Macaca mulatta: one gene and its partners. The protein of the gene in region 1 interacts with the protein of each later gene in a pairwise test. Links are inferred from orthologs where the notes say so. Each region holds a gene or a part of one and is shown in the gene's direction. Other genes may lie near its edges. The genes, in order: DTNB, CEP63, DMD, SPZ1, SNTG2, ZBTB9 and BEGAIN.

Region 1 (4,301 bases):
CAAAACATAGCCAAGACCGTGCCTACAAGAGATAAGTCTCCTCAAGCATGAAAATATTCACACTTCATATATGAAAGGTAAGATGTCCATCTTTTTTTTTTTCTTTTGAGACAGAGTCTCACTCTCTTGCCCAGGCTTGGAGTACAGTGGCGCGATCTCGGCTCACTGAAACCTCTGCCTCCTAAGTTCAAGCGATTCTCCTGCCTCAGCCTCCCAAGTAGCTGGGATTACAGGTGTACACCACCACGCCCGGCTAATTTTTGTCTTTTTAGTAGAGACAGAGTTCTGCCATGTTGGCCAGGCTGGTCTCGAACCCCTGACCTCAAGTGATCTGCCCGCCTCAGCCTCCCAAAATGCTAGGATTACGGGCGTGAGCCTCGACGCTCGGCCAAAAATGCTCATCTTTTGAGGAACCTATTTGTTCCCATTTAACAAAGTTGGTTATCAGCATTTCCTTCACCATAGGAGTTTAAAAATAAAAAGAGGAGAGGAGGAGGAAGAGGGTGTTCTAAAGGCAGGCAGGCAGGCAGCAGCAGGAGGTGGCACGATCTGCCTTACCATAAGGTGCCAAAAAACAGTGAAAACCATACTCCCAGCATGCAAGCCTGGGGTCGCTTAGCTCTGGAGCTTACAGCCTTCATCATTGACCAATAGCCCCTAAAGGACGTTGCTGTTTTGAGTCTTAAGTAACGTTGAGAAAAATGACCATTTGAACCATTTACAAAGTCCTTGCTACATCCTAATTTGGCACCATCTCCTGTATTTCACACAGTTTGGAAAGAATTCTATAAAAGATGGGTAACAGTAAAACACAAAAAAGCTGGTGCTTTGATGGTAAATCTGACTGCCCCTGGCTCCTTTGCTCAATCTGTTTTCCCAGCCCTAATGTCCTCCCTTTTTCCTCTTAGGACTTCTTTTTCTTCCTTCGAGGCTGACCATAAATGCCGCCTCTTCCAGGAAGCCCTCTGCGGCGTCCAAGCGGAAGTCATCTCTAGCTTCTGTGCCTTCCCACAGCATCGCACTGTGCCTTGGCTCTGCACAGGTCACCGGACTTGGTTGTGTACACGGCTGTTTTCCCCGCTAAGTTTGGGGAGCCTCGAGCCCAGGCGCTGTGACCGTGATCGTGCGCCCACAGGTACCTGGTGCGGCGCGGGGTGAACGCCGCGGCTGAGCGAGCTTGCGGAGTTCATGCGGGTCACTCGGGCAGAGGCTTGTGCCCTAGGCGCAGAGAATGATTCACGGGGTGGCTCTTTGCATTCTTTGCCCGGTAGTCACGTCGGGCCGGGCACCCTGCCGGCGGATACCAGCGGATGGAAAGGCACCGGGCCCGGCGCCAGAGAGCGGGAGAAGCCTGGATGGAGCCAGCTTCCCGCCTGCCCGGAACCGCGGGGGCGGGGTGAAGGGGTGCTCGGCCGCTCCCGCCCCCTCCTCGCGCGCGGAAGCCACGCCCCCGGTCGCGCGCTCGCGCTGGGCGCGCGCCCGCCCCTCCACCCTCCGCCCTCCGCCCTCGCGCCCTCGCGCCGGGGGCGGGCGCTGCGCGTGCCGGGCGGGGAAGCGGTGCGAGCCAGGCGCTGCGAACGTTCGCCGCGGGGGCGGCTCCGGGGCCTGAGTGGGCGCCGCCGCTGCCTCAGCCGAGGGGGCCGGGCCGGAGCGTGAGGAGGAGTGAGGCCGCAGGAGACCTTCCCGACGCCCCCTGCTCCTGCAGGGAAGTGAGCAAGGTGGGGGTCTGCGGCCGCCGCCGGGGCTGCGGGGAGCAGAGTCGGGCTGGAGCCTCGCGCCCGCGAGGTGCGGGACGGGAGCCCGCGCTGCGCCGGGACTGGGGACCCGGGAGTCTGCGGGTGCGGCGCCGCGGGAGGCGGGGAGGGCGCGGGGAGCCGGGGCCACTGCACCGCGCGGGGCTGCGAGGTGGGACAGCGCAGTCGGCCGCGGAGGGACAGGCAGAGGGGATGCTGCGGAGCCCGGGCCGGGAGGGGTCTCGGGGTCCGGAACGCGCCGGGGCACGGGCGCGAGCTGGGGCGCGGCGCCGGGCTGATGCTGCCCGAGCCCGGCTCGCCTGGAGGCGGCTCTGCATTAGGTGCTGAAGGGGCGAGTGAGGCAGGTCCTGGCAGAGGGCAGGTGAGGCGGGCAGGCCCTGGCAGAGGGAAGGATATTTATTTCAGATCACCCCAAATCACTTTTTCCCGAGGCGCCTAATAGCGAACCTGTCCGGGAGGTCACCCTGGTCAGGAAAGTGTCCCGAGAGGAGGATGCCGGTAACGAATACTTGCCCTTAAATTCCCGTGCCAGGCCTTGGGATTAGAAAGACCTTCCAGCTACTGTGGGTAGAGACCCGTAGTCAGCACTGGGGCCACGAAATAGTATGAAACACCCTCATGTTATTGAGGTGCTGGCAGTGTGACTGTGAAGATATGCACATAAAATACAAAAGAGCGTCCAATTTTATGTTTTATGCCGTATTCACTTTAGGTCTCTTTTGTCTTTTCCCAGTATTGGGAAATTGAAGCCATAATTTGCGTGGTTTGGAGAAAAAGCGGAAAGGTCAAATAAGCCTATGGGAGAAATTTGGGAGAGTTTCGAAGGCTCCTACGGGTACCATTTAAAGGGGGCTCTCAGAGGGGAAAAAAGACGTTTGGAAAGAAAGGAAGTTTCCTTCCTTCCCAACCAGAAATAAGCTCCATGACAATTCACTGCAAAGTCTTCAGAATGTTGCCTGTCTCACAGCGGTCGAGCCATAAATGTCTATTGCATGAATGAATGGACAAGCAAGATTTGGCCACATTTGCCATGGAGCAGTGTCAGTCACTCTAGTGTTAGGGAACGTTGCTAGATTTCCCCTGTTCCACAAGTTCTCTCTCTCTGCCTTTTTTTTTTTTTTTTTTTTTTTTTTTGCCATGCCAGGCAACCCAGTTTCTAAGGTCTGGGCACGTGAAAGCAATGGCTAAGGCGGCGAGGTCTTGGTTTCTGTGGCCATACTACCACTTTCCCATGTGTCTTACATGTTGACCGTCAAGAGCTTGCTCCTTGGGCTGTTGCTTGAGATCATCCCATTTTGTTCCTTCTCCCATTGGCTTTTCCTGTCACTTGAGAAGGAAGAGGGTTGTGTTGTCTAGAAAACACTTTTTCATTTTCATCCTAGTTCTTGGATCTTAGACCTGTAGTGCGAGGCTATCGGTGCCTCTGCTTTTCTGTAAGGGCTAGAATCCTACCTGTCCTCTGCCTTGGTTGAATCTCTGAACTCTGGAGCTCCAGGCTGCTGTTTCAGTAACCTGGGTTGCAGTGCCTGTTGGGTTACTTTGTCTGCCAAATTAAAACTTGACCTTTTATGAGTTCTCTGAGGATTTTTATCATAATGCATAAGTGGAATTGCCTTTCAAAGGGGTTGTGCAGTCAAGGTAGTGCTGGCAGTTTTTGGATGTCCACTATGCCCGGGAGACAAATTTCTACCTATGGTTAGAAAATTAGACTCAGAACCAAGAGAATTTCAACTTATTGTTTTATTTTTTGTCTTTATATTACCCCAGGGCCTTAGTTTCTTCGTGTGAAAAATAAGAGTAATAATCAAAATCTGGCATTGTATAGGAAGTCTTGAATAAGTAAATTTATTTCTCCTGTTTGAATTATATGAGCATCAGAGCTGTGGCGTCTAGTTGTGTAGATTGTATACTGCCCAGCTTTAGGGAGCACCATTCACATTGGAGTCCCCGTGCCCGGCAGCTCCTGGAGTTGTGTAGTGCATACTCTGTGTGACTGTGTACAGCCAGCAGGTCTCTTGTTGAGAGGTGCATAGGTTCTACAATATTGGGTGCCTTATTCCAGGCGCGCTCGATGATATTTTGTTTATATATTTATTTTAAAACCAACCTATTGATGTATAGTGGACACAATAAAATGTACAGATTTCCCATGTGTGGTTGGATGAGTTTTGGAAAAATGTGTACAGTGGTCCCCCCATTAGCCTCAGGGATATGTTCCAAGAGCACCAGTGGATGCCTGAAGCCACAGCTGATTCCAAACCCTATATAGACTGTTTTTTTCCCCTATACTTAAGCACCTATGATACAGTTTTAACTTATAAATTAGGTACCATGAGAGATTAATGATTTCTGTTAGGCATATGTTTGGCTTCTCTGTGGCATATCCCAATTGCCAGCATCACTACTCTTGCACTTCGGGTTTATTATTAAGTAAAACAGTGGTTACTTGAACACAAGCACTGTGATACCATGACAGTCAATCTGATCATTGAGACAGCTACCAAGTGAGTAACCAGAGGGTGGCTTATGCAGTGTGGATATGCTGGA
Region 2 (4,199 bases), on another chromosome or scaffold:
CAGGCCCACATAGGTTTTCCACCTTTTAGTAAGGTTTTCTCAGATCACTCGAGCTTCAGTAGGCCTTCTATCCTTGAACTCTTGCTTCTTGTCCTAACTTAAATCTACTAAACAAGCTTTGTGATCAATTGCTCAGGTATTATTGTCTCCAACTGTTATGTGTACATTTTGTACCCAGGATTCCTTAGTAGATCTTTCTACAATTTGGCCTCAATCTTTTTCACCTGTCCCTTCTCCAAACACCTCAAACCCTGTCACATTTTCCAGCCTTGACAGTTAAAACCCCCCTTTCCACATCACTAATGCCACTCTTCCTTTCAAGATCAACGCAGGCGTCAGCTCTTGGAGGTCAACATCCCATTTCCGGGGTTAGGCGTGAAGGTGCCTTCACTCTTAAGGGGCTGGAAGGATGGAAAGCAACAAGATAATCTAATCAATGCCCAAGGCACAGCCACCGTCCCAAATACTCGTCACACAATACGACCACTGTTTCCTGAACAAACTTTTCTTACACGTGACAGTCCCGATGCCTGCAATGCTGTTTGTTTCTTCCTTTTTATTCCAGCGAACCCATAGTCAGTCTAAAAATCTCAGGTCTCAAGTCGCTTCCTGTAGGAGGCCGCCTCCAAACCTCAGGCTGAGCGCGGTCCCAGTACCCACCGGGGATCTCATAGTTCCCTAAGCACAGAGCATGGCACCAACTAGGTAGCCTGTCAAACAGCCCAGATGTATGTCTTTCCAGACACGCAGTGCCTGCGTTTCCCGGGACAGGGACATGTCTTATCCATTTCTATACATTATAGCTTTGTAAACATGTATCTGTAAGGTCAAAGCGGGAAAATATTGTTCCTTGCTAGAAATGAGCCTCGCAGGCCACCACACTGTACGAGAGGCCGCCCCTCAGCCGCGGCTTCCGGCCTGACGCAGGATGTACCAAACGTGGAAGCGGAGACGGGGAGGTCTGGGGTGCCAAGCAAGTCCCTTTCCTCCCGACACAGCGTGCAGTAAAGAAAACGGTTATGAGCGTAAAGTGACAGCCTCGGCCGATGGAAATAGGGGGAAGTCCGACACTGAGCCACGAACGCATTCCCGCGCCTCCAAAACCTAGGCCGGGGGCGCTGCAAACCCTTACCGTTACGCGGCCCAGCGCGGCAGACGCTTCCTCCTGCCACGCCCCGCATCACGTGTCTGCACGCTCTTTCTCGGATTCCCGGATGTGGGTGAGTCCATTTGCTCGCGTGCAGGGGAAGTCTGGAGAAGACATTGATTCAATTATTAAAAGTGTGGGGGCAGTGGGCGGAACGAACGCTCCGACTGCTGAGGCTGGACGTAAGCTTAGTGGTGGCGCGCGTGCGCAGTGCACGCCCGAGGTAACGGCGGGAAGGCTGAGGGATGCGCTTGCTGCAGCCGTGTAACCGCCCGTGCGCAAGACGGAAGCGCAAGGGGCGAGCGCGTCCTGGTCCGGAGGCGGCCCAGGCTGCCTTGGTGACTCTGGCTTCGCGGCCTCATGGCTTGCGGCCGGTTCGCGCAACAGTCTGCGAACCACCAGGCGCCTCCCCGCCGGCTCGCGTCCGCCCCGGAGCCCCGTCCCTCGGCCTGGCCCGCTATGCCCTGCACACCGGCGTAGTCCGGCATGGCGCAGCCCGGCGCGCGGTTCGGCCCCGCCAGGTGGTCACAGCGTTTCCTCGGAGGCCGGGTGGCTGGGGGCGCTTCGGAGAGTAGCCAGGTGGGCGGGCGAGCTGCGCCCAGTACTCACCTTTCCCGGCGGACCCACCTTTCTTTTCAGCGGAGGGACCCCTGTGCGGCCTCCCGGCCAGGGCTGCTGTTTAGCTAGCGCTGTTAGGACTACTTCATTCACGGCACAAGGGGACCCGCTCATTTAGGGTGGCATGTTAAGGTTGGCAGCTTTTAAAATAGTGAGTTGGTGTAAACGGTTATGTTTAGTACAGCAGGTACGGAAATATGGCAGAAATCGTGGACTGAAATTGGAGAACCCTGAACTAACTGCTCCATGCACACAGATCAGGGATAGAAAGAAACAAGGACGGTTTCTTAGGAACACTTTAATCATGGAGATACTTGAAGACAGTACATTTAGGCTTATAATGTGGTTTTTTTTATGTCGTATACGACATCAGGAGAGTAAAGATGTGTATGATGTCAGAGACTAGTCATCTTGTATAGTTTAAGCACCGTACACTAATATGCACAAAGTAGTTTTCCCTGAGCTTTATGTCCGGTTAAACTTATTAAAAGAATTTATTCTTTTATAAAGCAGTATTGTAGGGTAGATGCTCTGTATTTATACAGTTCCTCACGTGCTTGCGTTTATTTTTTAGGTAAGAGAAAATCATAAGGATCGTTGATTAGATTTCTGTTAGCTGTAGCTTAATAGTAAAACAAAGTATATATATTTTCTTATTTGGAATGCAGTACTATTTTTAGATTAATTTTTGAGATTGCCTTTTGACTGTGGCATGATCAGTGATCAGGGTAGTAAAAAAGGCTCTGAAACTAAAATGGGGTAGAGATTTATAAACAGGCACACTGCCTTTTAAAATGTATGTAGATGCAACTCTAAAAGTTGTTTGTAAAAATTGTATATGTTGATTGTACTGATGCCATTTTCTCTCTTTAAAAGGTGGAATGCCTTTGCTTAGTCCTTTCTGTTCTAATTTACGTTGTGCTGGCAGATGGTGACAGCATCAGTAGTCCACTCTGTCATTGCTTCCTGCTTTCAAAAAATGTCAACTTGATTTGGAATTCAGCTAAAGCCAACATTGACACAAGGTTTCAGGAACTGAATTTCCGATCTTTATGTTATTTTAGTCCCCTGCCCGCCCCCGTCAGGAGCTAGGTTTTTCAGTTTTGCAAAGCCACACTACTGTCATTACACATACACAAATTAATAAAAATTCTCTAATGTCAATGTCCAGTCAGATTACGATTTCTTCAACTCTCTCTTAAATGTCTTTTTTGCAGTTAGCTTGTTTGAACCAAAATCCCACAGGGATCTGCCTGTTGTGTTTGGGTGATGCATATTTGACATCTTTTAATCTATAGCAGTTCCCTCATAGCTATAGCTATGGGATTAGCCCCTATTTTTCCTTACAGTTCTAAATTTAGCAGATTACATTGCACAGTATCCTTTAACAGGTATCTCTGTTGCCTTTATGGCTTCTAAACCAGGGGCCCCCAAACCCGGGGCTGCAGAGCACTACCAGTCCGTGGCCTGTTAGGAACCAGGTTACAGAGCAGGAGGTGAGTGACAGGCGAGTGAGCATTACCTACCAACTGAGCTCTGCCTCCTGTCAGATCAGCTGTGGGGTTAGATTCTCCTAGGAGCATGAACCCTAATGTGAACTGCGCATGCAAGGGATCTAGGTTGCATGCTTATGAGAATCTGACTAATGACTCATGATCTGAGGTGGAACAGTTTCATCATGAAACCATGCCCCTAACCCTTGCCATGTGTATTATTCATATTACTGAAGAAGTGGTTGGCCGGGTGCGGTGGCTCACGCCTGTAATCCCAGCACTTTGGGAGGCTGACGTGGGCGGATCACGAGGTCAGGAGTTCGAGACCAGTCTGGCCAACATAGTGAAACACCGTCTCTACTAAAAATGCAAAAAAGTTAGCCGGGTGTGGTGGTGTGCGCCTGTAATTCCAGCTACTCGGGAGGCTGAGGCAGGAGAATCACGTGAATCCGGGAGGCGAAGGTTGCAGTGAGCTGAGATCACACCGTTGCTCTCCAGACCAGGCTACAGTGTGAGACTGGATCTCAAAAAAAAGAAAATAAATAAATAAATAAAAAGTGGTTTGGCCATTCCTCCCCCAAAACATTTCATATGAATGTTAACAAAAAGATATTTACAAAATTTTTTATTTCCACCCTGTCCGTGTTGAAAAATTTTCTTCCGTGAAACAGGTCCCTGGTGCCAAAAAGGCTGGGGACCACTGCTCTAAACCAGTAGTTAGATGTAGAATTGCACTGTCCAGTATTGTAGCCACCAGCCAGCTGTGGGTAATTAAAGTGAAATAAAATTAAAAATTCAGTTCCTAGGCTGGGCGCGGTGGCTCATGCCTGTAATCCCAGCACTTTGGGAAGCCGAGGCGGGCAGATCACGGGGTCAGGAGTTTCGAGACAAGCCTGACCAACATGACGAAACCCCGTATGTACTAAAAATACAAAAATTAG
Region 3 (3,599 bases), on another chromosome or scaffold:
ATGTAGACTTGAAAGACAACAGCAAGGTGATCATGTTGAAGTTCTCTGACTTAGATAAGTGCTTTAAAAATTATTATTAATCATCATATTAAAGGGGAAACTTTCTGTGGAGCATGTATTTTCAATATACATTTAAGTAAATTGGAAGAAAACTCATGTAGACAGTAGAGTTCAATCATACTTTTTAAAAGTAGCGAAACAGCAGAAAGAAAGGTAATATGGCAAAGAATCATGGATGAGAGATATTGGCTATTTATAAATGATAAAAGATGATGATTTTTACCTGATCATTACTTCATACTGGTCAGACAAATAAAAACAAAAGCTCTCTCTTCTAAGATGACAAAATCTTAGTCCGAAAGTTCACAACTGGAGGGACTATTTAAACTGTCATCTGTAGAAAACAATTTGTGAAGTTCGAGTTTAGGGAGGCTATGAAGACACCATTACATTGAGTTTATTGTTCATAGTTTGTTTTATGTACTGTAAGGGCATATTGTTAGTATTCTCATGAGTTGTTTTGTAACTTAAAATTTCTCTAGAGGGGGATATGATTTAATGTTCTTGAGAGTAACATCATAAAACCGCATTTGGTAGTAATTTTTTATTTTTAACAATAGCAGACTTCACACACCAGTGCTCATACAGTAGACCATAAAAACGCAGTCTTAGTAAAAATATTCTTTTCCTCAAGAGCTACTTAGAGACATCCTTTAAACATGGGAATCGTTTTTGGGCTTGTGTTTAGACATAACACAATGATGAATTGTATTAGAAGTAATCAGCACACCAGTAATGCCTTATAATGGGTCTCGTTTCAGAATCACATACAAACCCTGAAGAAATGGATGGCTGAAGTTGATGTTTTTCTGAAGGAGGAATGGCCTGCCCTTGGGGATTCAGAGATTCTAAAAAAGCAGCTGAAACAGTGCAGAGTACGATTTTTATATGATGTCTTTAATATGAATAATTTTGTATGAATATTACTTGGTTAGATCAGTGTTTTACAGCTGGGGTGGATTTTGCCCTCCCCTCACCAGCAGATGTTTTTTTTAATGCTTGTAGACATTTTTGATTGTCATAACTGGGTTGGGGGTGGTGGTTAGATGCTACTGGTGTCTAGTAGGTAGAGGACAGAGATGCTGCTAAGTATCTTTCAGTCCATTGAACAGCCCTCCACAACAAGGAACTGCACAATCTAAAATGTCACTAGTGCCAATGTTGAGAAACCCTGGGTTGAGTAAGTGAGGAATTGAGAAAGCATTGCCTTGTACTCAACGTCAGTTGATAACATTATTTTGCTATAAAATGCAGTATAATTTAAAGGTAAAGAATCCTTTGAGCTACTTGTTATTTCTTACAACAAATTATTATTCATACTGTGTTGTTCTCTTCATGTATAATGCACTGTACTATAACACAATATGTAGTTTTGAAATAATATTCAGTATACCACTGTCATGCAGCAGGAAGAAAATAATCTTGCTCTTTAAAGAATTTTTTTTTACAATACAAGCTAAAAAAGCAAATCCACCTTCACACCCATTACACTGTAAACAATTATCTGCAATATCCTGTGTTTGAAAATGAAAATACTAACCAAGATAGTAAAGTATGAAGCCCATTTTCACACATTTTTCTAACCAGAAATATTAGATTTATTTCCTTTTGTTTCTGATATAAGTAAAATACAAATAATTCCCCACTGGATTCATGCCATAATAACCATTGAACATTTTTGCAAGACTGTTATGCAGTTGTCTATATCAATATATTTGTATCTCAGATTTTAAAAGACAAAAATCCATATGCGATGCCATCAGTCCTAATTTTACATTTTCTAGCTATGTTGCATATTTAATATGTGGCAGTAATTTTTTCAGCTGGCTTAAATTGATTCATTTTCTTAGCTTTTAGTCAATGATATTCAGACAATTCAGCCCAGTCTAAACAGTGTCAATGAAGGTGGGCAGAAGATAAAGAATGAAGCAGAGCCAGAGTTTGCTTTGAGACTTGAGATAGAACTGAAAGAACTTAACACTCAGTGGGATCACATGTGCCAACAGGTATGGACAATGTCTTTCACTGTGGCTAGTCTCAATGTAGTTAAGATTTCCTAATGTCTCCCTTCACCATTACTTTTGTTTAAGGCTTTGTTCCTACGCTGTTGCTTTAAAGCACAATTAATTCTGACAAATTAATCTTTTTTCTAGCATATATAAATATTTTCATAGTATGTATTTTAAATAGTACACATTCATCTTATTGTGGTCCTAAAATGACTTTCTTGAAACAGCTGTCATACTGAAAAATGAAATCCTATTCGTAGTCATTATTTCCAATCCACGTTTTCTTCAGAACATAAATGTATAATAATAGATTAAGAAAAATACATTTCACAGGGATATTTGGTACAAAATAAAATGAATGGGTAATATATGTGTATGTAGAAATAGGGTAAATAATTTTTACTTTTGATTAACATTTCCAAGTTTGGCCTCTTCAATACATTTATTATTTATTTATTTTATTTTTTGGGACAGGGTCTCCCTCTGTGCCTCTGTCACCCAAGCTAGAGTGCAGTGGTGTGAACTCGGCTCACTGCAGCCTCAACCTCCTGGGCTCAAGCAATTATCTCATCTCAGCCCCCACAAGTAGCTGGAACTACAGGCGTGTGCCACGATGCCTGGCTAGTTTTTGTTATTTTTTTGGTAGCAACAGGGTCTTGCTATGTTTCCCAGGCTGCTTTTGAATTACTAGTCTGAAACAATGCTCTTTCCTTGGCCTCCCCAAGTGCTGGAGTTACAGGTGTGAGCCACCACACCCGGCCGACATCTATTTTTAAATAACAATTAAGATTCAGTAACCATTAAGAATAGCTGAATAAAAAAAAAAACCACAAAATGACTGTACACTCATATTTGAGTTTCTCATTTTTCTACAGAAGAATATTTTATAGATACCTATTTTATAGTTAAATATTAAATGATGGATAGTAAGATACATTAAAAAATAATGTATATCAAATAATTTGTGTTCAGAAGGTAAAATTTTGAACTAAAGCAATGAATACTTTTAAGTCACCAATACATTAGTCCCTGATGATCTGCAGTTTTGCTTTCCATGGTTTCAAATGCTTGTGGTCAATTGGAATCCTAAAATTGGCGAGCACAGTAAAATAAGATACTTTGAGAGGGAGAGAAAGAGAGATAACGCGTTCTGTTTTATTAGCTGTTAATCTCTTACTATTCCTAATTTATAAATTAAATTTTATCATTTGTATGTATGAATAGAAAAAAACCTAGTGTATATAGGGTTAGGTATTATCTATGGTTTCAGGCATCTACTGGAGGTCTTGGTATGAAAATGCCTTCCACAGATACAAGGGAACTACTGTGCCTTTTTGGAAATTAATAAGGAGTTTCAATTTACGTGTTAGAGGCAGTCAGTCTCTCGTTACTGCTAAGTAAACTTTCAAAATAGAAAAGAAGTAATGTCAAAAGGCAAAAGCTACATTTGAAAATGAAAAAAAAATTAGAAAAGTCAAGGCAAATCACTCAGCTAATACAATCACTGACAAATGTTCATTGGTTCTATTA
Region 4 (2,954 bases), on another chromosome or scaffold:
GGCTGATCCTGAACTCCCAGCCTCAAGTGGTCTGCCTGCCTTAGCCTCCCAAAGTGCTGGGATTACAGGCATGAGTCAACTGCACCTGGCCAATTTTTTAATTTTTTGAGATAGGATCTTGCTGTGTTGCCCAAGCTGGAGTGCAATAAGTAGCATAGTCATGGCTCACTGCAGCCTCAGCCTCCCAGGCTCAAGTGATCCTCTCGCCTCAGCCTCCCAAGTAGCTGGGACCACAGGCAGACACTACCATGCCCTGCTAATCAAACACTTTAGAAACATAATTGTGTCATTTTAACAAGTTACTGTGTAGAGTGTAGAAATCTTAGAGGATCAATAAAAGAGCCAAAAAAAAAAAAATCCCCAAATAAGTTACTGTGAAAAGTAATGGTCAAAGTTTTCTATCACCTGATGTAAATGATTTGCGAGTAAGCTTGCCAAGCCTGTCTTAAAGGATGCCTATATTGAAAGCCAAGAAAAGTCCCAGTTTGTAATTGTGTTGCTATTATAAATAACCATTCAGATAGTCCCTTCTTGCAGCAGTAGAATATTTTTGAATGGAGGGACTCCTGACATTACTTTCCTAAAATCACAAAAGGCTCTCACTCTCAGGGTTTTGTTTTGTGTGGATAACTTTCTCTTACAGTCACATCTCTCCTAGGATGGGAGCAATAAAGCCTGTGGGTGCCATGAAAGGATGGGTACCTCACCAGAGAGGACTGGTCTCAGCAATGCCCTTAAGTGGTCAAAACATGCTGCGGTTGAGGTCAGGATTGTGAGGGGATAGAGGTGAGGTAGGGAAGTAACTGAGTGCATTTAGACTGAGATGAATAGCAACCTAGAAATTGAGGGGAAGAGCTGTTGATGAGCTCTTTCTGGCATGAGGAGTAGGGGTAGCTCAAGGTGGATTTTGATGCAGGAGTCACTGGGCAGGAATTTAAGAGACTTCCATTGTGACGCTACGGATAGGCCACAATGGTGCAGTGACAAAATAAAGACCTGGTTGCTAGGGCCAGAGAATAAACACCGGGTGCCTAGAGGAGAAGAGATGGAGCCCCAGCCCTGGTCCCCTTTCCCACCCTTCCTCCCCACAAGGCTGTCTGAGATGCCACCTTCCACCTAAACATCAGCTCCCCAATTTTAATCCTTAACTTTGGTCCCTGACTTCTGCTTGATCTCCAGCCACATTTGCACGAAGGAACATCACCTGTCCATCCTGGAATCTCTAAGGTTTTCTGCTTTCCTTCTGTCCCAATGGCCAACTCTGCGAAGTCAGCTGAGATGCCCACCATCTCCAAAACCCTTAACCCTACTCCTGATCCTCATCAAGAATCTCTGGACCCTAGGATTACCATTGCCTTATTCGAAATTGGATCACTTTCCCCTTCCTCCTGGGGCTCTCTCCCTTCCCTAAAGAATAGCAGCCATCAAGTTACAGAACAACAGACTGCAGAGAAGTTTAACAGTCTCTTGAAAGAAATTAAAGATATTCTTAAAAATATGGCAGGTTTTGAAGAGAAGATCACAGAAGCAAAAGAACTTTTTGAGGAAACCAATATTTCTGAGGATGTGTCAGCCCACAAAGAAAATATCAGAGGACTTGACAAAATCAATGAAATGTTATCAACAAACCTGCCTGTTAATTTAGCCCCAGAGAAAGAAGAGAATGAACATAAACAGGAGATGATATTGGAAAACCAGGACTCTGAGAACATAGTACAAGTTTTTGCAAGAGATTTGGTAAATCGTTTAGAAGAAAAAAAAGTCAACGAAACTCAACAAAGTCAGGAAAAAGCGAAAAACAGGCTCCTTAATGTTCAAGAAGAAACTATGAAAATTAGGAACAACATGGAGCAATTACTACAGGAAGCAGAACACTGGAGTAAACAACATACTGAGCTCAGTGAACTGATAAAATCCTATCAGAAATCTCAGAAAGACGTAAGTGAAACTCTCAGAAATAATGGAGTCGATTTCCAAACCCAGCCAAATAATGAAGTGTCAGCTAAGCATGAGCTGGAGGAGCAGGTGAAGAAACTAAGCCATGACACCTATTCATTGCAGTTGATGGCAGCTTTGCTAGAGAATGAATGCCAAATCTTACAGCAGAGAGTAGAGATTCTCAAGGAACTCCATCATCAGAAACAGGGAACTCTGCAAGAGAAGCCAATTCAGATAAACTGTAAACAGGACAAGAAAAATCAGAAGCCATCAGAAGCAAAGAAAGTAGAAATGTATAAGCAGAACAAGCAAGAAATGAAGGGTACATTTCGTAAAAAAGACAGATCCTGTAGAAGCCTGGATGTTTGTCTTAATAAGAAAGCTTGCAATAACCAGTTCAATATTCATGTTGCAAGAAAAGCTCTTAGGGGAAAAATGAGGTCAGCTAGCAGCCTAAGATAGAAAATACCAAAAGCAGACGAAAAGGTGAATCCTTAAAAAACTACATCTGATACATCCAGCTTGTCAGGCATGATCAATCATCAGACCTTGGGCAGATCTGCTGATTCAACCAAGAAAAAGTTATAGAATAAGAAGATTAACACTTACATTACTCATTACCTCAGCAGTTATGTAAGTCCGGTCTTTGATGACCATTGTGTCTACATCAGGTTCATAACTTTTCACCTTTACAATCTGCTTGTTTTTTTTTTTGTAATTATTAGATAGACAGCCTAGAGTGAGAAGTTACAGGTCCAATTAAGTAAAGATCTACATTAAAACCAGAATACAAGGGAACATTTTTTTTTCTTTATTTAATCATTGCCTGGGAGCAGGGGGAGTTCTGGGGGAAAAAAGTGTATAGTGTTTTTGGCCAGGTGCAGTGGTATTTTGGGAGGCCAAGGTAGGAGGATTGCTCAAGGCCAGGAGTTTGAGATAAACCTGACCAACACAGCAAGATCCCATCTCTAAAAAAAAATTAAGTGTAAAAAAGTACATAATGCTTTAGTTGTGAC
Region 5 (4,269 bases), about 25 Mb from region 1:
ATAGAAAGACCTGATTTTTGCGATTCAAGAGCTCGTCCTCTGGTAAACCGAGTGCTAAGAAGTGCTGGCCGACTGCCCTGCAGGCTCAACAGGAATACAGAGAACAGAGAAATGGGGAAGGCGTCTGTGTTCGAAACCCAGGTCAGCTCAGCGGTCAAGCAAGTCGGAGTCAGAAAAAGTAAAGTGTTTAACATCGATTTTTCAATATTTATTTGTTTACAATGCGTCACATTCTGTTCCTAGATAGGGTTAACCTCTGAAGACCTCCGATTTCGCTGCTTTTCCTCGCCGTGGAGCGGGAATGAAATCGGCGTCCCGGCCTCGGCGATGCGCGCTCGTTCCTGGGCCGGAGGATTTGGAAAGGGAGGAAAATATCCACATTTTTTAAAAAGTGGGTAGCCCTTGGCTCACGCCTGTAATCCCAGCACTTTGGGAGGCCGAGACGGGCGGATCACGAGGTCAGGAGATCGAGACCATCCTGGCTAATACGGTGAAACCCCGTCTCTACTAAGAAATACAAAAAATAGCCGGGCGAGGTGGCGGCACCTGTGGTCCCAGCTACTCGGGAGGCTGAGGCAGGAGAATGGCGTGAACCCGGGAGGCGGAGCTTGCAGTGAGCTGAGGTCCGGCCACTGCACTCCAGCCCGGGCGACAGAGCGAGACTCCGTCTTAAAAAAAAAAAAAAAAAAAAAAAAAAAAAAAAAAAAAAGTGGGTAGCCTTGTATGCCCCCTCACTCCCCCGCCGCACTGGAATCTATCCTAAACTTACTTTCATTTACATTAAAACGGGACGGTTTGAGTCTACCAAACCCAATACCGCATCTGTGAGGCTCCTTTTGGCACAAACCTGAATGAACAGCGGGAACCGCCGCCTCCGCGGGCGCCTGAGATCTGGGGTCCCCTCCCCACCCGGTCTCCCCGCTCCAGCCCCCGCCCCATGAGCCCCAGGAAGGCACCGCCGAGCGCCGGGTCCTCGCAGGGTCCGGGAGACTCCGCGGACCGGAGGCGGGATGGGGGGCCCGAGCTTTGGGGGCGGGAAGGGAGGGTGGGAGGAGGAGGAGGGGAGCGGGGTTGGGGGAAGTTGGGGCTTCTGTATCTTTTCTCTTGGTCAGGACATCCTCGGGCCCTGCGCTGTTTCTCCAAGGGCTGGGGAGACGCCGTGGGGAAAGGTCTGAGGATGCGGCCGGCGCGCACAGGTGTGGGGGCTTCAGAGGGCCCGGGAGGACCCATGGGCCTCGAGGCTGTGGACTGGAAATGCCCCTGATGAGAAGCTGAGAACCTTTGGCCAGGGAGGTGGGGCGGCCGGGAGAGGTCGTCAAGCCGGTCCACAGCGCGCCCGTCTGCGCCCCAAAGGAGCGGGGGTGCCCCCCTCCCATCCACCCACCCGCCGCCGCCGCGCGCCGCGGACCTCGGCGACCCAGCCCGGGTAGAAGCGCGCGCTCCCCGCCTCCAGCCTCGTGCGCCGGCCCCTGCCCCGCCGGCCCCGCGATGGTGCCCCCTCCACCCCCGCGGGAGCGCCCCTGTCCCCCCATCCTGGCACTTTCCCCGGAGTCGCGCGCCGGTTTCCCGACCCGTGGGAGCGCCCCTCTCCCGACTCCCGCGGATCCGCGCTCGCCGCCCTCCCCGCGGGTGCGCGCCCGGCCCCTCCTTCACCCGGGGCGGGTCTGCGTGGGCGGCGCTCCCGGGCGGCGGGCGGAGCTCGGGTTCCCCAGCTCCGCGCCCCGGTGTAGCCTGAGCTGGAGCCGGAGCCGGCCGAGGGGCGCGGACGCCAGGCTCCTGGCTCCAGGGCGGGGTCCTAGCGTTGAGCTCGGCCGGCCCGGAGCGCGGACCCAGCCGCAGGGGTAGCGATGAGCACCGAGGGACCCCCGCCCCCGGCCGGCCCCCGCGGACGTCCGGGCTGCCTGCTGGTGCCTGCGCGGGTGAGTGCGGCCCCTCTGCGCCCCTGCACCCCCGGCCCGCTTCCTTCTCCTTCGCGCCCGTCTCCCTCCACGCCCACCTCGTTCCCCGCGACCCCTTCCCTGTCTCCGCGGGCGGCTGGTCGGAGGGTGGACGCCGGAGCCCCGGGACGCAATGGGCACCCGCCCCCTGGCCGCTCTGCTCCCTCCAGCGCGGTGTCTTACTGGAAACTTGCAGGCTTTGCTCTTCGAGTGTCTTGCAAGGCTTAGGTTTTGGGGTGCACGGGCTTCCCTAAACTGCGTGGGAGGTAACGCTTTCCAGAATTTGGAATTTGAGATCGGCCCCACATTCCTTCCCAGGAGCGGCTCCTTTGGGTCCAGGCGGTGGTGCGGACCTGAGCGTCCCCCCTGCAGCCTTCTGGCGCCCAGGCCGGGTCTGAGCTGGCTGGAGTGAGCCTGGCCAGGTGCGTGGCGCGGCCTCGGCAGGTGCTGGGGGCTCTTGGCCATTCGGGGAGCCGCTGGGACGCCAACTGGGTAATACGGTTTCTTTTTTGAAGTCTATTCTAGTTCTTACCCTAAATAACTCCCTCTCTACCTTCTTACTTTTAAATAACTAAACTATTGATTGACAGAAAACAAGTATTAGTTCAAAGAAAAACGAAAAGTTCTTGGAAACCTTCAAGTTGCCACCCACAGCACAGCCCCAAGTTGTGAAAGCAGTTTAAGGGAGCACGTGGCCACCCCAGCCCTAGGAAGCTGCCTGGGAGCGCGGCTGTTCAGGAAAATGCATTGACAACCCCTCCTTTAGGATTCCTTCCCCAGGAGCTCCCAGTCCCCGGAGCCACCAGGAATAGGACAGCTGAGAGACGGTTCAGAAGGCCACAGGCTGAGGGCTGCTACACATTCCTATTGTCATAATAACGATTCTAAACTAGGACAGTGGTTGTAGCTACTGTGTGATGTTAAAAAAAATTATGGAGATAGATGCATCTTCATTCAAGTCGTACCTTTCTGGGCTTTTACTACAAAATATGAAAATTAAATTTCATGTAAAATGTGGGTGTTTATTTCTTGACGTATTTGTAACATGAATAGCCATCCCGCTGTTGCCCATGGTAATCAAACCCGAGAAAGTACGCGGGGATTACCTGGAAATAAACTGCAGTAAAAACTGCAGGCGCTCTGGAATCACAGCTTTCCCTCTGGTCACCGCCTTCAGCTTTAAAATGATGCCCTCCCATGGTTAGGAATTGTGCGTTTTTCTCGAGACATTCTTGCAGCAAGTCTTGCTTTTAATCATTGTAATTATAGCAGAAGCTTTGAAGTGGATTCATCATACTTCATAATTGACCCACTTGATGAGTTATTGGCAATAACGTCAACAAATACAGCAACTGCGCGTATTCTAGTAAATGTTCTCATTTGTGCTCAGTGTTAATTAAGGGGCTGAATTTGATGTTTTCCAGTCAAGGGTGGCCTCTGCTCACCTGTTTGCTACAAGATGTGATTGGTGCTTTCTTTGTAATAAGGACCTTGATTATTTGAAACAGCCTATCTGAATTGTGTTGAAAGAAACTTTTTTTTCAGCGTTGGAAGCCAATTATTACAATAAGACGGAAGCGTTTTAAGACCACGACTCCTAACTTTGCAGTCATAAGTAATTAGGTAGGTGCTGAGCCTACCTTAGACACCTTAGCCTACCTTAGACATTAGACACGGTCGTGTTAGCTCAGATTCTTATTTATTTAAAACGAATCTGTTAAGTATTGGTGTTGGCAGGTTTGTCTTGAATGTTCTTAGCATACAATGTCATCCTTGCTTAATGGCAGAGACAACTGCGCAGAATTATTTTCTTACCATAACTGCATAATATTATTCAACTTGTGTAATTATTTCATCATTTCAGTGAAGAGAACTTGGTGCTTTTAACTGGAAAAAGGTGAAAGTCTTTTCTAAATCTTACCTTTCTAGTCATGTTTTTTTTCTATCTGGAGTTGAAACCGTGCACATTCTTTATCATGACTCCTTGTCTGAATCATGGAATTTGGCCACGTTTGAAGGTCTCCTGTTCAGTAGCAAAACTGTCTTGTGTCCCCTTTCTCGTGCCTGTTCTCGATGTCTTTTTCTAAGTTAAGTCAGTTCATGGAGCTCTGTCTCTGACCATACCTGGATTTTGTCTGTCCGTGATAAAATCCCACGGACAGACAACCCTCAGTACAATGTGCTAAGTGTGTCTTGCTTGTAGCTTCAAAGACTACTATTGGTTGATGTTTACAGCATATTTGCTGCTTTTAAATGACAGCACTACTTCTGTCTGGGGCACGGGAAGAATCCTTGACATGAGCTAGGAACGTGCCCGTTTATACGATGAGCT
Region 6 (4,217 bases), on another chromosome or scaffold:
CCGGGGCCAAATTTATACTTATATAAAAGTTGTAAATATGTGAAATTTTATCCCTGTGCCCTTTCCCCACCTCAGGCCCTAGCCCTGGACCCTCCCCAACCTTCCTTCTCTCTTCTTTGGCTGTTGTAATTATCTGGGGTTTGTACTGTACATATCCGGGGTGTGTGTGTGTGGGCTGGGGGCAACCCTTCTGTACAGAGCTTCCTGGCCCCCTCCCCCCCCGCCCCTCTGCTTCCCTCCCCACCCACTACCTTAAGGGTAGGGAGATGCTCTTCCTACCTGTTTTATTTTGTTTTCTCGTTCTCCCTCCCCACCCCACTCCCAGCCTTATCTATCCCCCCCTCGCTGTCCCCTTTTCTCCACTCCCAGCCCCATTTCCTTTTTTTCTGGAGTGTGTGGTGAAACAGAAAAAAACATGTTTAATAAACGGAGATTGTTCTTTTATCGCTGTGCCGACTTTCTTAGGCAGGGCTCTCCAGACAGACCTGTACGGTGGTAAGATCTGCTTTCTGAAAGGAAGCTGACAGCCTGAGAGGAAAACCGTACATCCCCACCTGATGCCACACTCTCCTCATAAAATGTCACTCTCCCCTCCCAATGAGAGTTTTTATATTTTAGAGCAGGAGTTTTGCACTGGCCAAACTTCTCCAGTCTCTCCCTCCCCTCACCACTGTGTCACTTAGTCTGAGGCCAGGAACAGCGGCGTTATCTGATAAAAGAATTCATGTATATATCCACATTTATCTCTTTTAAAAATCACCTAGAAGTAAGGTTTCTTTAATTGCTGGTTAAAATGCTCCTGTGCAGAACAGAGGAAAGAACCTGCCTAGTTCCTTAGCAAATCTGAGATCCAGTCCCAGGTCCACTACTATTAACTGAGTGACGCTTCCAGCCCGTTTCCCCCGCCTGGAAACTGAGGACGGCAACCCCCATCCTCGCAGGGCCGGTGGGAGGACACAAGGTGATGTGGGCAAGTGCCAGGCCCACATGGTAAGTGCCCAACTAATCTTGCCCCTCTCAGGACCTACCGGGGGCGGGTGCTACACTTAATCACCGGGAAACGCAGCTTTCCGGGGCGGCTGACGGCCCGCCCCCTCCGACCGGTCTGTTCTCTCCTGGGACCTGGCTCTCGGTCCTCTGTAGCGGCGAGGACTTCGGCAGCTACCCCAGACGCCCGATACGCTGGCACCCTGAGCCAGCGCCCTCCTACTAGCACCGCCCTCCTCGTCTGCGGTAGCCAGTCAACACGAGGCTTGTAGGCTGCCCTTCCTCGATTGGCTACGCCTCTAGCTCCGCCCGCCGCACTTTGCGACGGCGTCCGGCGGGGAGGCGGCGGCTTCCGGCCTGGGACGGAGCTGTAGCGGCACTGTAGCTGCGAGGGCAGCGCCGCGTGTGTAACGGCGGGGGCGTGTCGGCGGGAAGGACAGCCGGGCCGGGACTCCCGGTGTCCGGGTGACCGCGGTTTCCCGGGAGCAGACCTCTGTGGGCACTGTGAGGCGGAACGGAGCGGCGGGGCAGGAGCTGTTCTGGGCAGGTGAAGACAGGCTCGTGGCTGAAGGACCTCCTTCGCATCTTCCACGGGGGCTGGAAGTTACAACCCCGGTTGGTGTTTGGTGGTGGTGGTGGTTTGTTTGTTTTTCTTTCTTGGTGTGCTGGACTGATTTGCAGAAACCGCCACTGACTTAAAAGTTTCCAGTTATTGCTCGTGGGGGGAGGGAGTTGTTTGAAGAGATGTGGCTCCCTTTATCCAGGGCTTCTGTGACCTCCATCTTTTTCCTTTGCAGCCTTCATCCCGCGTAGAGTCTACCCCCAGGCCCCTCTCGTCTTCCCAATTCTTCTCACCTTCGAGGAGGCCATGGAAACCCCAACGCCTTTGCCGCCCGTACCCGCCTCCCCGACCTGCAACCCAGCCCCACGGACAATCCAGATCGAGTTTCCGCAGCATAGCTCATCGCTACTGGAATCTCTGAACCGCCACAGGCTAGAGGGAAAGTTCTGTGATGTGTCCCTCCTGGTGCAGGGCCGGGAACTTAGGGCTCATAAAGCAGTGTTGGCTGCTGCCTCTCCTTACTTCCATGACAAGCTGCTTCTGGGGGATGCACCTCGTCTCACTCTGCCGAGTGTCATTGAAGCCGATGCCTTCGAAGGGCTGCTCCAGCTCATTTATTCAGGGCGTCTCCGCCTACCACTGGATGCTCTTCCTGCTCATCTCCTTGTGGCCAGTGGCCTTCAAATGTGGCAAGTAGTAGATCAGTGCTCAGAGATTCTTAGAGAATTAGAAACTTCAGGTGGTGGAATTTCAGCCCGTGGAGCAAACTCCTACCATGCCCTTCTTTCCACTACATCCTCTACAGGAGGCTGGTGCATTCGCTCTTCGCCTTTCCAGACTCCAGTACAGTCCTCTGCTTCCACTGAAAGCCCTGCTTCCACTGAGAGCCCTGTGGGAGGGGAGGGAAGTGAACTGGGAGAAGTGCTGCAAATTCAGGTAGAAGAAGAAGAGGAGGAGGAGGAAGAAGATGATGATGAGGACCAGGGGTCAGCCACACTCTCTCAGACTCCTCAGCCCCAGAGAGTATCAGGGGTTTTTCCCCGTCCTCATGGACCCCACCCACTGCCCGTGACTGCTACTCCCCGAAAGCTTCCAGAGGGTGAGAGTGCACCAGTTGAGCTTCCTGCCCCTCCTACTGCGCTGCCCCCTAAAATCTTCTACATTAAGCAGGAACCCTTCGAGCCTAAGGAGGAGATATCAGGAAGTGGAACTCAGCCTGGAGGAGCAAAGGAGGAAACCAAAGTGTTTTCTGGAGGGGACACTGAAGGGAATGGGGAGCTAGGGTTCTTGTTGCCTTCAGGGGCAGGGCCAACATCTGGGGGAGGGGGTCCATCCTGGAAACCAGTGGATCTTCATGGGAATGAAATCCTGTCAGGGGGAGGAGGACCTGGGGGAGCAGGCCAGGCTGTTCATGGGCCTGTGAAGCTAGGGGGAACACCCCCTGCAGATGGAAAACGCTTTGGTTGCCTGTGTGGGAAGCGGTTTGCAGTGAAGCCAAAGCGTGACCGGCACATCATGCTGACCTTCAGCCTTCGGCCTTTTGGCTGTGGCGTCTGCAACAAGCGCTTCAAGCTGAAGCACCATCTGACAGAGCACATGAAGACCCATGCTGGAGCCCTGCATGCCTGTCCCCACTGTGGCCGTCGTTTCCGAGTCCATGCCTGTTTTCTCCGCCACCGGGACCTGTGCAAGGGCCAGGGCTGGGCCACTGCCCACTGGACTTACAAGTGACTGCTGAGGCTATATACTAGCTTCTAGAATGAAATAACCACTGCTGCTGATGGGTACTTTTCCCTCACTACCATGGCACACCAGTCATGGATCTTGTAATCATGCCAAGAGAATAGATACATTGATACATTATGGACCTCTTGTTTTAAGATATGGGCCTCTCAGCCTGGCAGATGTGGAAACTCAAATTTCTCATCCCACTCCAGGTTTTGGCTAGCCAACCCTGCAGGAAAGCAGTTTATAGGCCATTCATACTTAAGTTGATCACTTGCCCATGGTGGACATTTTTGTAGTGGTGATGTCCATTAAGGAAACCAGATTTTCAATTATTTAGTGAGAGAAGAATTAGAGCAAAAGACAGTGGTAAATGTTTTATTCCGTCTCCATGAGGAATTAAAGGAGTTGGTCTCCACCTACGGATACATTTGATTTAGAGCTTGAGTAATTCAGAGGCTAAGCTCTAAACTTTTTTCTCTCTCATTGCTGGAATGATTTAAGCAGAATTCCTTTTGTGTACTTTTAAAATTGTATCTTTCCAGGAGCCCCTCAGATTGTACCTTGCTTTCTCACCAGTAGACACCTTTCCAACACTTTTTTAATGTTGTAGTTGAGCACTTTAACAAGTTGAGCATTCCATGTTTCATTCTTAGAACCTTCTTTAATAGAGGGTATTCCCTCAACAGCCTGTGCCTCTGGTCTACCTTTGACCACCACTGGTAACTCATATATTGGTCACAATGACTGGAATGTGACTAGTGATCTCAGGAGATGGCACTGTCCTAAAGTGCTCTCAGGGTGGCACCACTGCTCTCTGAACAAGTTGCCTTGGTCAGAGGGACTCAGGTTTGGGACAGCACAAGCTGAAGGCTGGCGAGTAACTTGCATAATAGGACCATACCTCTTCCTTTCCCATCCCACCCACATATGATAGACAGCC
Region 7 (4,088 bases), on another chromosome or scaffold:
CAGGAGAATTGCTTGAATCTGGGAGGCAGAAGTTGCAGTGAGCTGAGATCAAGCCATTGTACTCCAGCCTGAGCAACAAGAATGAAACTCCGTCTCAAAAAAAAAAAAAAAACAGTACCAGAGGCAGGTGATGCAGGGCTGGTGTGATGATTCAGTGGTCATGGGAGATCCAGATTCCTTTTGTCTTTCTGCTCCTCCATCTTTTATACATGGCTTCTGCCACAAGTTTGTCTCATGGTGCAAAATGTCTGCCACAGCTCCAGCCATCACTTCCATGTTCTAGAGAAGCAGCAGGAGGATGGGGAATGGGAAAAGGACACAGGTTGTCTGTCTGATCTTTTTCGCAGAGCTCTGCCAGCAGTCACACCCAACTTCTGTTTATAGTTCATTGGCGACCTCCTGGCCTGGCTGCATAGGAGCCCAGGAAAGATGGTCTTTTAGCTAACTACCCTGTATCTCAAAAGAGAATGAAGGCTCTGTAATAAGGATGCACGGGAGGACAGTGGGCTGCCCGCGGCCTCTGCCGACCCCTCCCATTTGCTGGTTTGCTGCAGTTCCAGTTTGCCCTGCTTCAGGCCCAGTGCTCACGCTGTCATGGTGACCATCGTGGCCATCTGTCCACTGCCTGTCCTCTGTGCCCCTGCACCCTGGACTGCACCTGGCAGAGGAGATGTCAGAGTAGGAGAGGGGGAGGCCCAGTCCAGGGTCCTGTGTACCACAGGAGCTCACTCAGGGCGGGCTACCTCCCCAGGCAGAGCCCAGGACATGACCTTCTCCTCTCTAGCACTTTCTAAGCCCTGAAGCTCAGCTTCCATTTAGTGAGAATCGATTTGGGGGTGGGAGGCCGTGAGGCCCTGCCACTGGATCAATGGGCAGGCGGGCATCTGGCTGGTTGCCCTGGTCTGTGAGGACGGGAGGCACAGCCCCTAAGAGGGCACAGGGATCCCAGCCCCATGGGAGGAGAGGAGTGGGTCACGGCGCTCTTGGGGAGCCCAGACCTTGGACTGACTCAGGAGGATGTTCTCAGGGGCCAGCTCCCAGGTACGGGGCTCTAACCCTGCCTGTCCCAAGCAGGGCAGCTACAGCTCCCTCCTGGAGCCCAGGGCAGCAGCCGCCATCAAGGAAGCCCACAGACAGGACCTTCGAAGCCACATGCCAAGCCCCAGCCAAGGTCGGAATCCTGAGGGCAAATCATCTTGCCCCAGCTGGGCAGCTCGGCCCAGCCAGGAGATGGCCCGGGTGTCGCCAGTCCGGCCGTCCTCCCCAGAGTCCCTGAACACAGGCAGCCGGGCTGTCACAGGCTCCCTCGCACGCCTGGGCCGCCGGCGGGAGGCCAGACTGCCCTTCTCCAGGTTCCTGGATGAGGTCACTGTGCGGGTTCTGGACCCTGGGACCCTGGAGGCCTTCAGGGTACCCAGAGGCCGCAGCCCAGAGCCCTCCGCAGTGGATCGAGGCCAAGGCCTGGCCCAGGAGGCCCTTGCAGGAGCTGCAGCCCCAGGGGAGAAGGACCCGGCCCTGAGCTCCCAGCCTTCTTCGGAGGCGGCCGCTGAGGCTGCAAGCAGAGTGGGGCCAGGCCAGGCCGTGGGAACTAGTGGGCCTTGCTTGGGCAGTGGCAAGCGCGGAGGCCGAGCTGCCTCCCCTTGGAGGCCTCCAGGTCGGGTGAGTCTCAACCCCAGAGGTCTCTTCCCTCCTCATGTGCCGTTTCCCCACAGTTCCTGTCTGACCTGCTCCAAGTTCCCTCCCCACACCCCTTTTATAATATCTGTAATAGGAAAGGCCTTAATTGCCAAAGGAATGAATCTCTAAGGTGAAATTTCTGACTTTGGGGCAGGCAGACTATTTCTGTATGGAATGCACATGCGTGAACAGTAATGATAACAATTATCATAATCCTCTCCCCACTGTGGCAAAGCCTTGGTGGTTTACCTCGGGCTTTCCTGTGATTATCCTTTTACAGTTTTGAGCCTGAGACAACCCCACATGAGGCAGGCTGTCCCACAGGCTTGTCAGGCAGGGAGGTGAGCTTTCATAGCTGCCCCCATTACATGGAGTTGGAAACTGAGGTTGTGAGGGGCTGCCACTTGCCCCAGGTGACACAGGGAGTCCTGGCTTGGGCTGTAGAGCTCTTTCATCGTACCCCGTCCACACATGCACTCTGACCTCAGACAGACAGACAAAAGATGTGGTGAGATTTCCTTAGCTGTCCTGGGGACGGAGCTGTGCAGAGCATTGGGCAGGTGGGACCTCACTCAGGGACTGGCACCCCCACCTTGGTGCTGACCTTCCATGCCCTGCACCGTCTGTGTCCCGTGGGCCAGGGAGGACCCCTGGGCTGCCTGGATGTTGCTCGTGCCCCAGTTCCACCTTCTCCCAACACGGGATGGAGGCAGAGGCGGTGGGCTGGGTTTGTGGGATATCAACCTGTAGCCTCCCAGGAAGGCTTTTCTGCTGGGAGGGGTTCTGTTCTGGGGACAAACCCCGGCTGAGTGCGATGACTGATACTCACGGAGCGTTGACTAGTGTTCTCAGCTTCTGACCCCCAGCTTGGGCGCAACTCCAGGAGGTCAGCGCCATCATTATGTCCCCAGTGCACAGAGGAAGAGGGAGGTGGAGGAGCCGGATTGGGCCCAGGCACTTTGCCCTCCACCTCTGCACCTCTGCCACCTGTGTGCTGCTGGCCCTCAGGTCAACTGCTCTGTCCAGGGATGGCCAGGGACAGGCCGGTGGGTGGGAAGTTCTGGTGATTTGAAGCCCTGCCAGCCCTTTCCCCGTAGGTCTGCATGGCCAGCTGGGGCCAGGCAGCTCTGGGTGGAAGCGCATCTCGAGGGTCAGTGGCCTTCTGTGTGACTCTGGACAGGTCACCCAGCCTCATTGTGCCTCAGTTTCCCCAGCAGTGAAAAGTCAGTCATGGTCACAGGCACCTAATAAGCATTGTGTCCCCATCTGCTCCTCCAGGGGGTGGTGAGCTGGGAGCCCCGCTTCTCTGCTGCTCTTGGCTCCGCTTACCATGCAGACCGCCCTCTGGGGACTGCTGAGCCCCAGGGGAGTCCTGGTGCCGCCTGGGCCCTGGAAGATTCCATCCCAGGGCTTCTTGCACATATCTCTCGGGGCCTCAGGGCCTGCTGGGGCCCAACAGTATGTTCAAGGGGCGAGGCTGCACCCTGGGGCCTGGCCAGGGTGGCCCCACCCAGGAGCCCAGCTTGACTGCTTGAAGCGAGAGGTGGCATCAGCCTCAGCAGGAGGGGCTGGACCATACCTGGCCTCGGAGGCCCCGGTCGCCAGGCCTAACTCCTGCTACACCCCACCTTCTCCCACCAGTCCCCCAGGATCGTATCTCATGATGGGCGCCAACTCTGAACCCTCCAGCTCCAGCCTCAAATCAAATACAGCAAGCCTGTGAAAGGGATCCTAGGGTCAGGCTCGTTCCATAAAGCAGGCACTGAGGCCCGGAAAGCTGAGTCCAGCAGAGTCCTGGTTGGGCTGTGCCCTGGCTGAAGTCACACTCCCCCCAGTGTCTCCATGGGGACATTAGAGATAACTGAGGAAGGGCCCTGGCACAAGGTAGGGATTCAGCCGCCGGGATGATAGTGGTGATAAAGATAGTGATGCCAGCCCTTCACAGGGGCTTGTCTGTTGATTTGAGTACCCACTGTGTGCCCTGTACCTTCCTGGCCTGGACAAGCCTCTATCCCCAGAATGCTTTCTGGAGGGGTAGCTCTGGGGAAGCAAGGCAGATCCCGGGCTTCCAGTCACCAGCCTGCAGACCCTTTGTTGAGAGACCGAGCCTGGGGCTCCACCATGAACCAGTTCTGGGAGGAAGCTGCTGCCCCAGGAGAGCCCTGGGTTTCATTCCTGTCCTGTGCTGTCCTGCCTGGCTGAGTGGCCGTGGGTGAGTCTCTGGTCCTCCTCTTCGTTGGTCAACAAACAAGAGGCAGCTGTAGAAGGTCTCTGGGACCTCCGGTTATCACAGACTTGGGACTGAGCCTCATTTATACTAGTGTGAATGACTCAATCCAGTGTTTATCTGAGAACAAAAGTCAAGACGGAGCAGGAAGCACAGGGCCAGGGGCAGAGCCCTGGGTGGGGTC

What was found.
Region 2: the proteins of DTNB (region 1) and CEP63 interact in binary tests that used the Homo sapiens proteins (3 or more experiments, as listed by UniProt). The two-hybrid records come from large-scale screens. The link is inferred for Macaca mulatta from reciprocal best matches to the Homo sapiens genes DTNB and CEP63.
Region 3: the proteins of DTNB (region 1) and DMD interact in binary tests that used the Homo sapiens proteins (3 or more experiments, as listed by UniProt). The link is inferred for Macaca mulatta from reciprocal best matches to the Homo sapiens genes DTNB and DMD.
Region 4: the proteins of DTNB (region 1) and SPZ1 interact in binary tests that used the Homo sapiens proteins (3 or more experiments, as listed by UniProt). The two-hybrid records come from large-scale screens. The link is inferred for Macaca mulatta from reciprocal best matches to the Homo sapiens genes DTNB and SPZ1.
Region 5: the proteins of DTNB (region 1) and SNTG2 interact in binary tests that used the Homo sapiens proteins (3 or more experiments, as listed by UniProt). The link is inferred for Macaca mulatta from reciprocal best matches to the Homo sapiens genes DTNB and SNTG2.
Region 6: the proteins of DTNB (region 1) and ZBTB9 interact in binary tests that used the Homo sapiens proteins (3 or more experiments, as listed by UniProt). The two-hybrid records come from large-scale screens. The link is inferred for Macaca mulatta from reciprocal best matches to the Homo sapiens genes DTNB and ZBTB9.
Region 7: the proteins of DTNB (region 1) and BEGAIN interact in binary tests that used the Homo sapiens proteins (3 or more experiments, as listed by UniProt). The two-hybrid records come from large-scale screens. The link is inferred for Macaca mulatta from reciprocal best matches to the Homo sapiens genes DTNB and BEGAIN.

Annotation. Positions count from the first base shown.
Region 1 is NC_133418.1:99,327,704-99,332,004, forward strand, and holds the start of DTNB (dystrobrevin beta), read left to right. Parts: upstream 1-1,489; 5' UTR 1,490-1,718; intron 1,719-4,301.
Region 2 is NC_133407.1:37,528,363-37,532,561, forward strand, and holds the start of CEP63 (centrosomal protein of 63 kDa), read left to right. Parts: upstream 1-1,354; 5' UTR 1,355-1,392; coding exon 1,393-1,668; coding exon of another isoform or gene 1,669-1,726; intron 1,727-4,199. UniProt on the Homo sapiens protein: Required for normal spindle assembly.
Region 3 is NC_133426.1:32,395,820-32,399,418, reverse strand, and holds part of DMD (dystrophin), read left to right. Parts: intron 1-821; coding exon 822-935; intron 936-1,910; coding exon 1,911-2,066; intron 2,067-3,599. UniProt on the Homo sapiens protein: Anchors the extracellular matrix to the cytoskeleton via F-actin. Ligand for dystroglycan.
Region 4 is NC_133411.1:86,662,201-86,665,154, forward strand, and holds SPZ1 (spermatogenic leucine zipper protein 1), read left to right. Parts: upstream 1-1,251; coding exon 1,252-2,400; downstream 2,401-2,954. UniProt on the Homo sapiens protein: Transcription factor that binds to the DNA sequence 5'-CANNTG-3'(E box) and the G-box motif. May play an important role in the regulation of cell proliferation and differentiation during spermatogenesis.
Region 5 is NC_133418.1:123,844,487-123,848,755, reverse strand, and holds the start of SNTG2 (gamma-2-syntrophin), read left to right. Parts: upstream 1-1,397; 5' UTR 1,398-1,847; coding exon 1,848-1,919; intron 1,920-4,269. UniProt on the Homo sapiens protein: Adapter protein that binds to and probably organizes the subcellular localization of a variety of proteins. May link various receptors to the actin cytoskeleton and the dystrophin glycoprotein complex.
Region 6 is NC_133409.1:148,823,429-148,827,645, reverse strand, and holds the start of ZBTB9 (zinc finger and BTB domain-containing protein 9), read left to right. Parts: upstream 1-1,334; 5' UTR 1,335-1,534; exon of another isoform or gene 1,535-1,602; intron 1,603-1,784; 5' UTR 1,785-1,855; coding exon 1,856-3,280; 3' UTR 3,281-4,217. UniProt on the Homo sapiens protein: May be involved in transcriptional regulation.
Region 7 is NC_133412.1:173,917,077-173,921,164, reverse strand, and holds the start of BEGAIN (brain-enriched guanylate kinase-associated protein), read left to right. Parts: upstream 1-1,219; 5' UTR 1,220-1,230; coding exon 1,231-1,659; intron 1,660-4,088. UniProt on the Homo sapiens protein: May sustain the structure of the postsynaptic density (PSD).